Callithrix jacchus: one gene and its partners. The protein of the gene in region 2 interacts with the protein of the main gene of each other region in a pairwise test. Links are inferred from orthologs where the notes say so. Each region holds a gene or a part of one and is shown on either strand. Other genes may lie near its edges.

Region 1 (4,073 bases), on a different chromosome or scaffold from region 2:
AAAAATCCCTGAATTAGGCCATACAATGGCTCATGCCTATAATCCCAGTACTTTGGGAGGCCCAGGCAGGAGGATTGCTTGGGGCTCGGGGCCAGGGATTCGAGACCAGCCTGGGCAGCATAGCAAGACCCCCAACCCCTCCCACAAAAATTAAAAATAAAATTCACCTAGAAGGGAATATGGGGGCCCACTTTTTTGGTACATGTTCCACCTCCCTTTCCTCTTGTACATAAACCCCAGACTTTCCCTTCCTCAACAAAGGCTTGAAGCACAAAAAAATTAAAATGAAAATAAAAATAAAATTCAAATAATTAGCCAGACGGGCTCAGTCGCTCAAGCCTTAATCTCAACCCTTTGGGAGGCCAAAGTGGGTGGATCACCTGAAGTCGAGAGTTTGAGACCAGCCTGACCAACACGGAGAAACTCCGTCTTTACTAAAACGACAAAATTAGTCAGGCGTGGTGGCAGGTGCCTGTAATCCCAGCTAATCGGGAGGCTGAGGCAGGAGAATCGCTTGAAACTCGGGAGGCGGATGTAGCGGTGAGCCGAAATTGCATCATTTCACACCAGCCTGGTCAACAAGAGCGAAACTCCGTCTCAAAAAAAAAAAAAAAAAAAAAAAAATTAGCCAAGCGTGGTCGTGCAGCGTCTGTAATCCCAGCTACTCCGGAGGCTGAGATGGGAGGATCGCTCTAGCCTGAGACGTTGAAGCTGCAGTGAGCTATAATCGCAACACTGTACTCCAGCCGGGGCCACAGCGAGAAAAGAAAAAATCCTCAATTAGAGACACGATGAGGCCGTCCTTCCTCGGAGACCCGCTCTTCCTCAGACGCCCACCTGGACCCTCAGGCCAACGCCGAACCCTCTCCACACGGACCTTTGCAGCCTCAGTTTCCCTCCTCTGACGCTCCCGGCTCCAATCCTGGCTCGGACACTTCCTGCCCCTCTGGTGTGTCTGCCCAGGTCCCGGGGCTCCTGCGAGGATCACACAGGAACTCACGTGAAGTGTCCGGAGCAGTGCTCTCCGCCGGTGCGCCCGCGTCGCGCCCTGCCAGATCCCCGCAGCGCACCCAAGTCTCCCTCGGGTCACCTGCTCCCCGGGTGCGCAGGCGCAGTCCGCGTCGCCGACTCAGGCGTGTGGTTTCGGGTTTCCCGAGAAGAGAGGCCGGCGTTCGGCTGGCGGCTAGCCGGGACTAGCGGAGCGGTGGGACTCCGCGCTCGATTGGCCGGTCCTGGACAGGCGCTTGGGCCGGCGCGGGCTCCGGGCGCTCCCGGCATCCCTCGGGTGGCGGCGGCGGTGGCGGCGGAGACGGCGGAGGAGGCGAGGCGAAAGAGGAGCGTGTGCGGCGGAGCCGGCAGCTGGGCCGGCAGCGGGTAGAGGCGAGAAGACGGCAGGAGACCTAGGGGGAACCGGGCCGGTGGGGCCGCCGTCGCCACCATGCAGGAAATCATCGCCAGCGTGGACCACATCAAGTTCGACTTGGAGATCGCGGTGGAGCAGCAACTCGGGGCGCAGCCGCTGCCCTTCCCGGGCATGGACAGTGAGCGCGGGGCTCAGGCGGGAGGGCGAGAGCTACTCGGACCCAGGACTCCTTCGCCACGGTCTTGAGACGACCCCCCCACACCCCCGCCTCCTCTGGATCCTGGGACCCCTCCCCTTTGGTCCCGGGACTCCTCCCACTAGGTCTTGAGAGTTCCTCCCACCTCCTCCGGGTCCTGGGACCCTCCCCTTTAGTCCCTCCTCTGTGGTTTCGGGACTCTTCCCACTCTATCCTGAGACCTCTTCTGGATGCCGGGACCCTCACCCTTGGTTTTAGGACTCCTGAATCCCAGGCCCCCATTTCCACCGTCTGGGGACCCCTTTTCCCCTCACTTGGACTCAGGAGTTCACTGCGTCGGATTTGGCCTCATGCGGCGGCGGTTCAGAGGTAATCTGTAGGAGGGCAGGAATTTGTTCGCTTAATTCTTGAATAAAGGTGGGTTATCCAGGATTGGAACTCTCCCTCAGCACTCTCCCAAATACAGAAGAGTACTAGGGTATCCCACTCCCTACTTCCCGCCCCCCCGCCCCACGTTGAAAGCAAGAGTATCTCTTCTTGCTTTCTTTAAAACGAGGCGTTGGAGGAGGCCTGCTGAGGGAAGGACCACCTCTCTTTAGGAGACCCCAGCTAGACTCTCAGAATCCCCTCTAGGACTCATTCTCTTGGGAGCTCATCCCTAATTTGGGGCCTGTCTCCACTTTTTTCTGGACCTCAACTCTGAGTTATCTATCACACCCAGCAGCTGTATGGACCCTTGGCCTGAATGAACTTCCTTCACTCCTTCCCTTCGTGTGGTGACCCCTGGCTCCCCACCCGCTACTCAGTGGAATATCTTGTACTTTAAAAGAAACTAGTCGTTTTCTTTGTGTCTTCTTTTTTTTTCAAGACAGAGTCTCGCTTTTGTCTCCAGGCTGTAGTGCAGTGGCGCAATCTGGGCTCATTGCAACCTCCGCCTCCCGGGTTCAAGCAATTCTCCTGCCTCAGCCTCCCGAGTAGCTTGGACTACAGGCACGCGCCTCCATGCCCAGCTAATTTTTGTATTTTTTTTAGTAGAGACGGGGATTCACCATGTTGGCCAGGATGGTTTCTATTTCTTGACCTCATGATCCGCCCACCTCGGCCTCCCAAAGTGCTGGGATTACAGGCGTGAGCCACCACTCCTGGCCTTCTTTTCTATCTGGACAAATTTGAAATCTAATGCTATAACCTTAAAGTTTGGGGGCTGGTGGAAGTCACTGAGTTCAATCCAAAGATGGGGAAACTAAGACCCGGGTGGGGTGGGGGAAGGGACTTGCTGATGACCACCACTCAATGGATGGCAGACCTGGGGTCTCCTACAGAGAGGTGGTCCTCCTCAGCAAGCTCTCCAGTGTTCTGTGCTGTCACCTACAACTACCAGTGGGGTCTCCCACCTCTCCCAGCAGCCTCCCTCTCCAGCAGCCTCCCTCTCCTCAGGCAGCCATGCCTTGTCATGCACATGTGACTTCTAAGTCTGTCCTTTCATGTGGTTTTTTTCTTTTTGTTTGTTTGCTTTTGAGATAGGGGCTCCCTCTGTAAGTGTAAGTGCCTTGGTGGCGTAATCACGGCTCAGTGCAGCCTTGACTTCCCAGGCTCCAGCAATCCTCCCACCTCAGCCTGCTAAGTAGCTGGGACCACAGGCATGCACCACCATGCCTGACAGATTTTTTTTGTGTGTATTTTTTAGTAGAGACACTGTTTTGCCATGTTTCCCACGGCTGGCCTAGATATATTTTTTTTTCACTGCCTGCCCCACAAATTTACATGGTGACACTTCTATACAAGATAATTTCACTGGGCAGGGCGTGGTAGCTCACACCTGTAATCCCAGCACTTTGGGAGGCCGAGGTGAGCGGATCACCTGAGATCAGGAGTTTGAGACCAGCCTGGAAAACATGGTGAAACCCCATCTCTACTAAAAATAAGAAAATTAGCTGGGCATGGTGGTGGGTGCCTATAATCCCAGCTACTTGGGAGGCTGAGACAGGAGAATTGTTTGAACCCAGGAGGTGGAGGTTGCAGTAAGGCAAGATTGCACTATTGCAGTCCAGCCCAGGCAACGAGTGAAACCCCATCTCAAAAAAAAAAGGTTATTTCTGTGTATTGTACTCCAGCCTTCCTTTCCCCACCCACTCTTAACTCCTTGAAAGGATCTTGGTATACAGGAGGCTCTCAAAGCACTGGGTAATGACTGCCCTCAATATATGTGTCTCATTTCAGGACATGACTAATAAAAGCAGCTTCATCCTTGGTGGGGCTTTGCATGTTTTTGCTACTTTATTTCCTGTACCCTGAACCCTTGGTGGGTCAGAGGTCAGAAGGGCTCCCTCCCACTGTCTTCAGACATAATAGCAATTGTACCTCTTTGTTTCATTCTTCTCCTTTTCTCTCCATTCTACAGAGTCTGGGGCTGCTGTCTGTGAATTCTTTTTAAAAGCTGCCTGCGGCAAAGGTAAGAGACTCCAGGCTCCCTGATGTGCCTCCTGAGGTGCCCTCCCACCTCCTTGTCCCCAG
Region 2 (3,628 bases):
TTTGTGGTTCAGCCACTTATCAGAAAAGGGGATGGAAGGAGGAAGGTCTTTATATTTTGTGTGTAGGACTCAATCTTCTACCATCTGTTATAAGGTTCCCATCACAGGGCTGCTTTCAGAATCTAAAGGCTCCAAAGCCAACAGAGGTTGGTTTTAGGGTAAGTGGAAAAAGAGAGGGTTATAAATGATGCATTATGAGATAATTGACTTTAATTATTTCTATGTAAATCTAGTTGGAGTCATTGAAAAGCCTCACTTTTGGAGAGGAGTTAACTATATTTCCTATGAAGCTAGTTTATTCTACTTCAAGACATGGTAATAAAAAGTTCTGCTTCTGAAAAAATTAAGCACTAAATTCACCAAAGACTACCATTTATTGAGTGTCTGCTCTCATACCAAGCACTTTATAAATGTCAGTTCTACAGAAACCTTTAAAAAGACTGTTGGCAATTTTACAGATGAGAAAACTGAGGTTTAGAGAGGATAAATAATAGCCTGGGTCACTCAGTAAGTGACGAGATCAGGATGTGATTCTGTGTGTACTCTGCTTATACTCTTTTCTGCTGCTCTCTACTGACTGGCATGGCTATTACCTTTCAGGCAACATGCTTCCACACTCCAAGTACAAAGTTAATATTTATGGTGAGGAAAAATAGTGGAAATACATATACACATATGTGCAAATGGATATATTAATACATTCTGTTTTTTAAATAAGATTCTAAAATTTTAATATACCACATATAATAACTTGGTTAGCAGTACCATTGGGCATTAAGCATAGCATTACTGAATCATTACTTTTGCTAAAACACAGGCTGACATGTCTTTTAAAACATGGCTTATAATTGTCACCTATGTTAAACCCTGAGATTCCTTACCATCTTGATGTTTCATACAAATTACTAGTTTAATAATTCATATTAAACATTTCTAGAAATCAAAGCTCTTCAGCATACTCTTCTGAAAGATTTTATTCTAAGTGAATTTACTGTTAGGTTGTACAAGGTGTTGATTTCTATGCTAGACAAAGAGAAGAGAAGAAATAAGAGACTTGAAGGATAAGGAAAAAGATGGAAAGAGAATGTCAGTTAAGTGACATGAAAGGAAAACCGGTCTAGGGAAAGGAAAGACCACCCTCTAACACTAGCCATTAGTCTCAGTTTTACCAGTCTGTGTAATTCAATCTAAAATCAGAAAATGGAGATGCAGCTTACGCAGTTGAAGTTATTAGCCATGTGGTGCATGCACATGCGCGCGCACACACGTACACACGTAATTAGGGTGTCAGAATGCAGGTACGTCCAGTCTGCATTTTGTATGGATACTGTAGAAGTTGCTTTGATGTCTCTTCTCTATTTGAATATTTTTTAATGATAAACCTAAAGTTTAAAAACTTCGTTTGCTTTCTGCTTTGTAGTCATTGGGAGTTGTATATTTTTATAATGTTTTATGTGTGTCCAAGACTCTAAGAATGTTGGTTAGAAATCTGAGATATACAGATAATCTAAAAGGAGCAAAAATTTTAAAAGCTGATAATTTAAATCAGTTGCAGATCTCATTTTCAAGAAACGAAAAAACAAAAGCATTGTTAAATCTTTTTAACAGCAATGAAAGCACAGAATGAAATTGGCCATTTAACATGGGTAATTATTATATATTTATATTCTTAGCTCTAGTGCTATTTTGAGAACAAGCATTGTTTTCCTCTCAATTCAACAAATATTTATTCCTCACCAATGTTGTAAAAGATGCTAATGTAGGGATTTTTGGTTTGGACTTCAGATCATATTTTCTTTTACAGTTTGAATCCATTCAGAATTAATGGTCCAGTTGTCAAGAAAACATTTCTATTTCTGTTTCAGTGATGAAGAACGCTACAGATACAGGGAGTATGCAGAAAGAGGTTATGAGCGTCACAGAGCAAGTCGAGAGAAAGAAGAACGACATAGAGAAAGACGACACCGGGAGAAAGAGGAAACCAGACATAAGTCTTCTCGAAGGTTTGCTCTTTAATAAATAGTGAACCAGTAGTATGTGAGAGATTTTGACTTACTACATTATCACATTGGAAGAGGGGAAATTTTGGCCTATGAACCAATCTTTAATAAGTTATGAATCAAAGCAGTGCTTGGTTTCATTAAAGAAAAATTCAGGGCTTTGTTGCACATTTTTTTAAAAGCATTAAAATAACTATTGTTTGCCAGAAATCAACCCTATACAGTATTCCCAGTAGTGCTTGTTTCTGTTACTGTAAATTATAATATGCATTTAGAATAAGCTGTATAGACACTGGGAATCTGAGATATCAGTGAAGATGACCCTATAATATAATCACTACATAAAAGTCACATAAAAACTGATTATTCCCCACACTGCATTTATGAGAAAATGCATTATTTTAAACTCAGTGTTGTTTTCAGAATTTCCTTAGAGTGGTTTTGTCACCGATTGTGCATTTAAACAGAACACGTTTTGTTTTTTTTCAGTAATAGTAGACGTCGCCATGAAAGTGAAGAAGGAGATAGTCACAGGAGACACAAACACAAAAAATCTAAAAGAAGCAAAGAAGGAAAAGAAGCTGGCAGTGAGCCTGCCCCTGAACAGGAGAGCACCGAAGCTACACCTGCAGAATAGGCGTGGTTTTGGCCTTTTGTGTCTATTCGTACCAGAAGTAGATACTATAAATCTTGTTATTTTTCTGGATAATGTTTAAGAAATTTACGTTAAATCTTGTTCTGTTAGTATGAAAAGTTAACCTTTTTTTCCAAAATAAAAGAGTGAATTTTTCATGTTAAGTTAAAAATCTTTGTCTTGTAATATTTAAAAAATAAAAAGACAGCAATGACTTTATATCCAAGAAAGGAATGTGAATGAGTCACTTAACAGGGAATCCAAAGAGCCTGTGTTAGCTTTGTACCTATACAATATCTGATAAAAGGTCAAGGTTCCACCTTAACCAGTTTTTGTTGTTGTTAACCAAATACCAGTCTTGTAAGAGGCTGTACAAGAGGCAACAAAGGGTCCCTCTAAGGCTTGAGATTAAAACTAGTCTTTATCATTACTGCTGTGACACTCTTGCTTAGTATCTTAAGAGAATTTTACTTACTTACACATTTTCGATATCACAACTTTTTGATGACAGCTTTTCAATGTTCTAAATTTGGGTTCCTGGTGAAGCTAAATGGGGTACACTTTCATATCCAGATTAATAAAACCTATAAGGCATTTGGGTGGCCTCTATGAAATAAATTGCCCTTAGCGTAGTTTCTAGGAGGCACATGTACAAACACTCTTTATTGTGACACACACAAATTATTTGAATCGCCTCATGACCATCTATAAAAGCCAGGGTCAAGCTGGTTTGGCCTTTGTGATGCGTTTTCCAAAGCCCATTGGTAGAGGAGCACAAGTTTTTATGCAGTTACTAACTATTGTGGAAAAAAATAAGAGCTTTAGCCATTTCGTATTAAAACTAAGAAAACAAGTTTCTAATTCTCTGAGCATTTTTAGGGATAACCCTAGGAGATATTTGTCAGTGATGGTAACAACATGATATTTGAAAGAATAAATTACTAGGATCTTTTAAATGGTACTATAGGTAACCTTAATTAGTATCACATACTAA
Region 3 (4,076 bases), on a different chromosome or scaffold from region 2:
GAATTTTTAGAGATTTAGAGCAACCTAAGGTGACTGAGTTTATAAATTTTTGGTATCCCTGAGGGCTAAGAGAGATGAAAAGGTTTATAATATTTAATAAAATAATAAATGAAAAATTCCCAAGTCTAGCAAGAAATTTAGATATCCAAATATAAGGGGCTCAATATTTTCCAAAGAAATAAAATGCATAAAGGACTTTGCCACGGGAGATGACAATCAGACTGTTTAAAGTCAAAGTGAAAGAGAAAATTCTGAAAACATAAATAGAAAAGTAAAGTGTCTTGTCACCTATAAAGGAAAGCCTACCCGACTAACAGCAGACTTCTCAGCAGAATCATTATAAGACAAAGTCCTGAAAGAAAAAAAGGGCAGCTAAGAATTTTATAGCCACCAAACTTAACTTTCATAAATGAGGAACAAATGTCTTTCCCAGATAAAGAAATGCTAAGGAAATCCATCACTACTTGACTGGTCCTACAAGAAATGCTTAAAAGAGTCCTAACTTGGAAGCAAAAGGATTACATTAACCATTATGAAAACACGCGAAAGTATAAAACTCATAGGTAAAGTAATTACACAAAGGAGGAAGAGAAAGGAATCAAGTGATACCACTATAGAATTCCACCAAACCACAGTTACAGAAAAATAAAAATAAAAAAGCAATAATAAAACAACTAGAAAACAACAATATGGCAAGGACAAAACTTCAGATATTAATATTAGCCTTGAATGTAAACTAATTAAATGCTCCACTTAGAAGATACAGTTTGGTGGATTGCTGTCTACCATCCTAGGAGCAGGGGGGAAAAAACCCTCATCTTTCCTGTTGGAAGTGAGCTCAAACTCCACAAAGGAGTTACCTGCCTTTTCTTGCCATGGAAGCAGGAAAAAACTTGCCTTCCTTGTGTTGGATGCAAGGACCCCTGTCCCCCTTCCCCCCCACACAAAAGGAGCTGTACAGCAAAATAAACTTTAGAGCTTGACCAAATCTGAGTAGATCAGGGATTCTCTGGAGGGATTGCTTCCATGCCTCAGCAAATTCTCCTATTTGTTTGAGCCATAAGGATAGCTCAAACTGGTACCAAAGACCGATAGGAGATTTGTCAAAGCCCTTTGGGGTTACCAAAATGTGAATAGTAGAATACCTCTACTCAGAAGCCCTTTGGGGTTACCAAAATGTGAATCTCAAATATCTGATACAGGTCTCGGTCCATTTAGGAAGTTTATTTTGCCAAAGTTAAGGATGCATGTCCATGAAACGGCCTCAAGAGGTCCTGAAGACATGTGCCCAAGGTGATCAGAGCACAGCTGGTTTTATACGTTTCAGGGAGACATGAGACATCAATCAAGATACGTACGATGAACATTGGTTTGGTCTGAAAGGTGGGACAACTCGAAGCAAAAGAGGGATAACTTGAAGCGGGAGGCGGCTTCCGGTTCACAGGTAAGTAAGGGACGTTTGCATTCCCGAGTTTCGGGTTGGCCTCTCCACGGGAGGTAATCAGCTATGCACTTACCTGAGCAGAAAGATGACGCTGAATAGAATGGGAGGCAGGTTTGCCCTAAGCGGTTCTCAGCTTGACTTCCCCCTTTGGCTTAATGATGTGGGAGCCCCAAGATTTATTTTCCTTCTACATTTTCTATCAGACCTACGGTCTGCCTTGATGCTAACGCCGGAGGAGTATAGTAAGGCTGTCCAACCCCTCCTTCTCCTCAAGGCCGGAACAGTCCCTCAGGTTGAATTTCAGGGTGTCCTGGTCAAGGAGGGAGTCCGGTCAGATGGCTGCAGGGGGCCCTTCGAATTTATGTCTGTTTTACAGGCATCAGTGCCGCCCATTTCTCATGAACCCCACACTTCCTCTCAGCAAAACAGAAACGTTATCATTCTGCTTCCATTTGTCCAGAAGAAAGGCAGAGGGCGCACACTGTGCAGCGCGGATGGGAAAGTTAATTGAATTATTTGAGAGAAAACAGGAAGACGTGCGCGGGCGCGTCCTCCACGGAAGCCTCAGCCATTTTGTGGCTCGTAGGGGTTCTGTTTCCCAGGCCGTGAAGTGCCCAGCTCCGCCCCCCGCCCTAGGTCGGACTCCTGCCCACGCCCTGCACCCCGGGTCGGACCCCAAGCCGAGAGACGCGGCTGGGCGGTTGGGGACAAGCTCTACACATGGGGGCGCTCGGCCTCGGGTTGGCACGACCGCAGAGGCGCAGACATGCAGTGCGCCTGCGTAGGACGCTGTCCTAGCTACAGATGGTCTGTGCGCAGTGCGCCTGCGCGAGCCGAGGGCGGTGGCCCGGCTTCCCAAGAGGGCGGGGCGTCTGGGGACGACGCCTGCGCGGGGGCGCCTGGCTGTGGGCTGGGCCTTCTCGGCTGACGGCCTGCGCGCACTGCGCTTGCGCGGGTTGAGGGCGGTGGCTCAGGCTCCTGGAAGGGACCATCCGCCCCTCGGCACTGGCAGTGTGAACGCGCAACTCAGCGGAGAAACGCGGCTGAGGTAGGTTTCCTGATGGGCAGCTCAGGCGGCTGGACTGCACGTAAGGCAAGACAGGCCAGGTGAGGCGTCCTCGCACTCCCTGTACGCCGCTGGCAGACTTAGGCCTCCGCCCCCCTTTGGGACCTCCGATCGCCCTCGCGTTGTGTGCTTCCTGTCCTGGCGTCCAAACGGGAGCTCGGCCCTCGCCACACCCTTCCCAGTGCGCCGCGCCCCCTCCCGGCCACGCCCACCACCCAGCGCCGGCTCCGGCCACACCCTCCGCGGTCACGCCCACCTCACCACCAGCCCTGCCACGCCCTTCGCGGTTACGCCCCACGGGCTAGGCGATCTCTGTCCTGAAGCTCTAGGCGCGCTCGCAGCCTGACCCTGTTGTGCTCCTGCGTCCACGCGCGGCCCCCTCGCTTCTTGCCCGCTTCTTGCCCCGTTCTCACCCGCCTTCATTGGCCACCTGTTCCCACTCCCCATGAGCCTGTTCCTCCCAAGGGCATCTTAGGTGGGCCCGGATCCTGCGCGCACCCCAGCACCCACTCCAACCCATCCCAATTTGGACGCCGGTTTTCCAATGAAAATATAATTCTGTAAATCAGTATTTGTAACTATGAACATCACAAAAATGAGCATCAAGTCTGAATTTAGAAGTGAAGCTTGCATTTTAAACAAAGAATTGCCATGCGATTGCAAAAGCACATTCGTCCCAGAGCGGAGTGTGGGTTACACTGTTACTGGAAAAATAAAAATTGAGAAGGAAAAGACCGGAAGATGCACACCTTCGTTCCTGTTAGTGGAAACACCAAAGTCCCAGGTAGGGACTTTCAATTGGAATTAAAGCTGTCACATTTCTAAGAAAAGAATGAATACTGATTTATATTGCTTTAAGTCGACATTTGATCTGACAGAAACTAACAGGCTTCAGCGAATGAGTAAGATTAACACCTTGTGGACTAGTGAAGAAAACACGCACTGTTTGAAGTTTATGATTTTTAAATGCTTTTGTCTTTGTGAAGAATTGTGATTATAATTTTCACTTCTATACCATTCTTCGCACATACACATTTTATTTCTATTTGGTAGAGGACCTTTGTCATGGACCTTAGAAGTTAAGTGAACTTAATTATTAACGTGGCAAGTACTTTGTGTCTCCTTCTCTTTTTAAAAGTAGAAATGGAGAAGAAAATGAAATAAAGCAGGAGTTATGAGGCAGAGCCCAAGAGAACTATGGCAACATCAGGTGACTGTCCCAGAAGTGAATCACAGGTAATTTCGGTTCCAGTTCCTAAAAATCTGTGTTTAATGAATGGGAACATTACAGAGAGTTAAGTGTCACCTCACAGATGTGATGGAACTTGACTTGTGCCTTGGAAGGTGGCCACACAGTAGAATGCTTAAATGTGAAGATTGTGAGGCAGAGGAGACGCGGTGTCTGTAGGATGACATCCTGCACTGGGCACCATCAACCCTTCCAAAGAAATAGCCCCAAAACAGCAGCATCATTTAGGCTTCCATTTTTGGTACGTGAACTGGCAAAGCAAGCATATTTTCTGAGCTGTTCAATAAAATTTCATGCGTAATACCAGCAATATATCG

Evidence for each region. The genes of interacting proteins can lie anywhere in the genome.
Region 1: the proteins of FIP1L1 (region 2) and CPSF4 interact in binary tests that used the Homo sapiens proteins (3 or more experiments, as listed by UniProt). The two-hybrid records come from large-scale screens. The link is inferred for Callithrix jacchus from reciprocal best matches to the Homo sapiens genes FIP1L1 and CPSF4.
Region 3: the proteins of FIP1L1 (region 2) and PRMT2 interact in a two-hybrid assay, tested with the Homo sapiens proteins (2 studies listed by BioGRID and IntAct). The link is inferred for Callithrix jacchus from reciprocal best matches to the Homo sapiens genes FIP1L1 and PRMT2.

The regions. Positions count from the first base shown.
Region 1 is NC_133503.1:14,141,108-14,145,180, reverse strand, and holds the start of CPSF4 (cleavage and polyadenylation specificity factor subunit 4), read left to right. Parts: upstream 1-1,273; 5' UTR 1,274-1,438; coding exon of another isoform or gene 1,439-1,541; 5' UTR 1,542-1,789; coding exon 1,790-1,928; intron 1,929-3,960; coding exon 3,961-4,011; intron 4,012-4,073. UniProt on the Homo sapiens protein: Component of the cleavage and polyadenylation specificity factor (CPSF) complex that play a key role in pre-mRNA 3'-end formation, recognizing the AAUAAA signal sequence and interacting with poly(A) polymerase and other factors to bring about cleavage and poly(A) addition.
Region 2 is NC_133504.1:143,243,994-143,247,621, reverse strand, and holds the end of FIP1L1 (pre-mRNA 3'-end-processing factor FIP1), read left to right. Parts: intron 1-1,865; coding exon 1,866-2,003; exon of another isoform or gene 2,004-2,489; coding exon 2,490-2,637; coding exon of another isoform or gene 2,638-2,716; 3' UTR 2,717-3,128; downstream 3,129-3,628.
Region 3 is NC_133522.1:52,206,586-52,210,661, forward strand, and holds the start of PRMT2 (protein arginine N-methyltransferase 2), read left to right. Parts: upstream 1-1,276; 5' UTR 1,277-1,444; intron 1,445-1,517; exon of another isoform or gene 1,518-2,026; intron 2,027-2,402; exon of another isoform or gene 2,403-2,492; intron 2,493-3,190; exon of another isoform or gene 3,191-3,294; intron 3,295-3,648; 5' UTR 3,649-3,707; coding exon 3,708-3,746; intron 3,747-4,076. UniProt on the Homo sapiens protein: Arginine methyltransferase that methylates the guanidino nitrogens of arginyl residues in proteins such as STAT3, FBL, histone H4. Acts as a coactivator (with NCOA2) of the androgen receptor (AR)-mediated transactivation.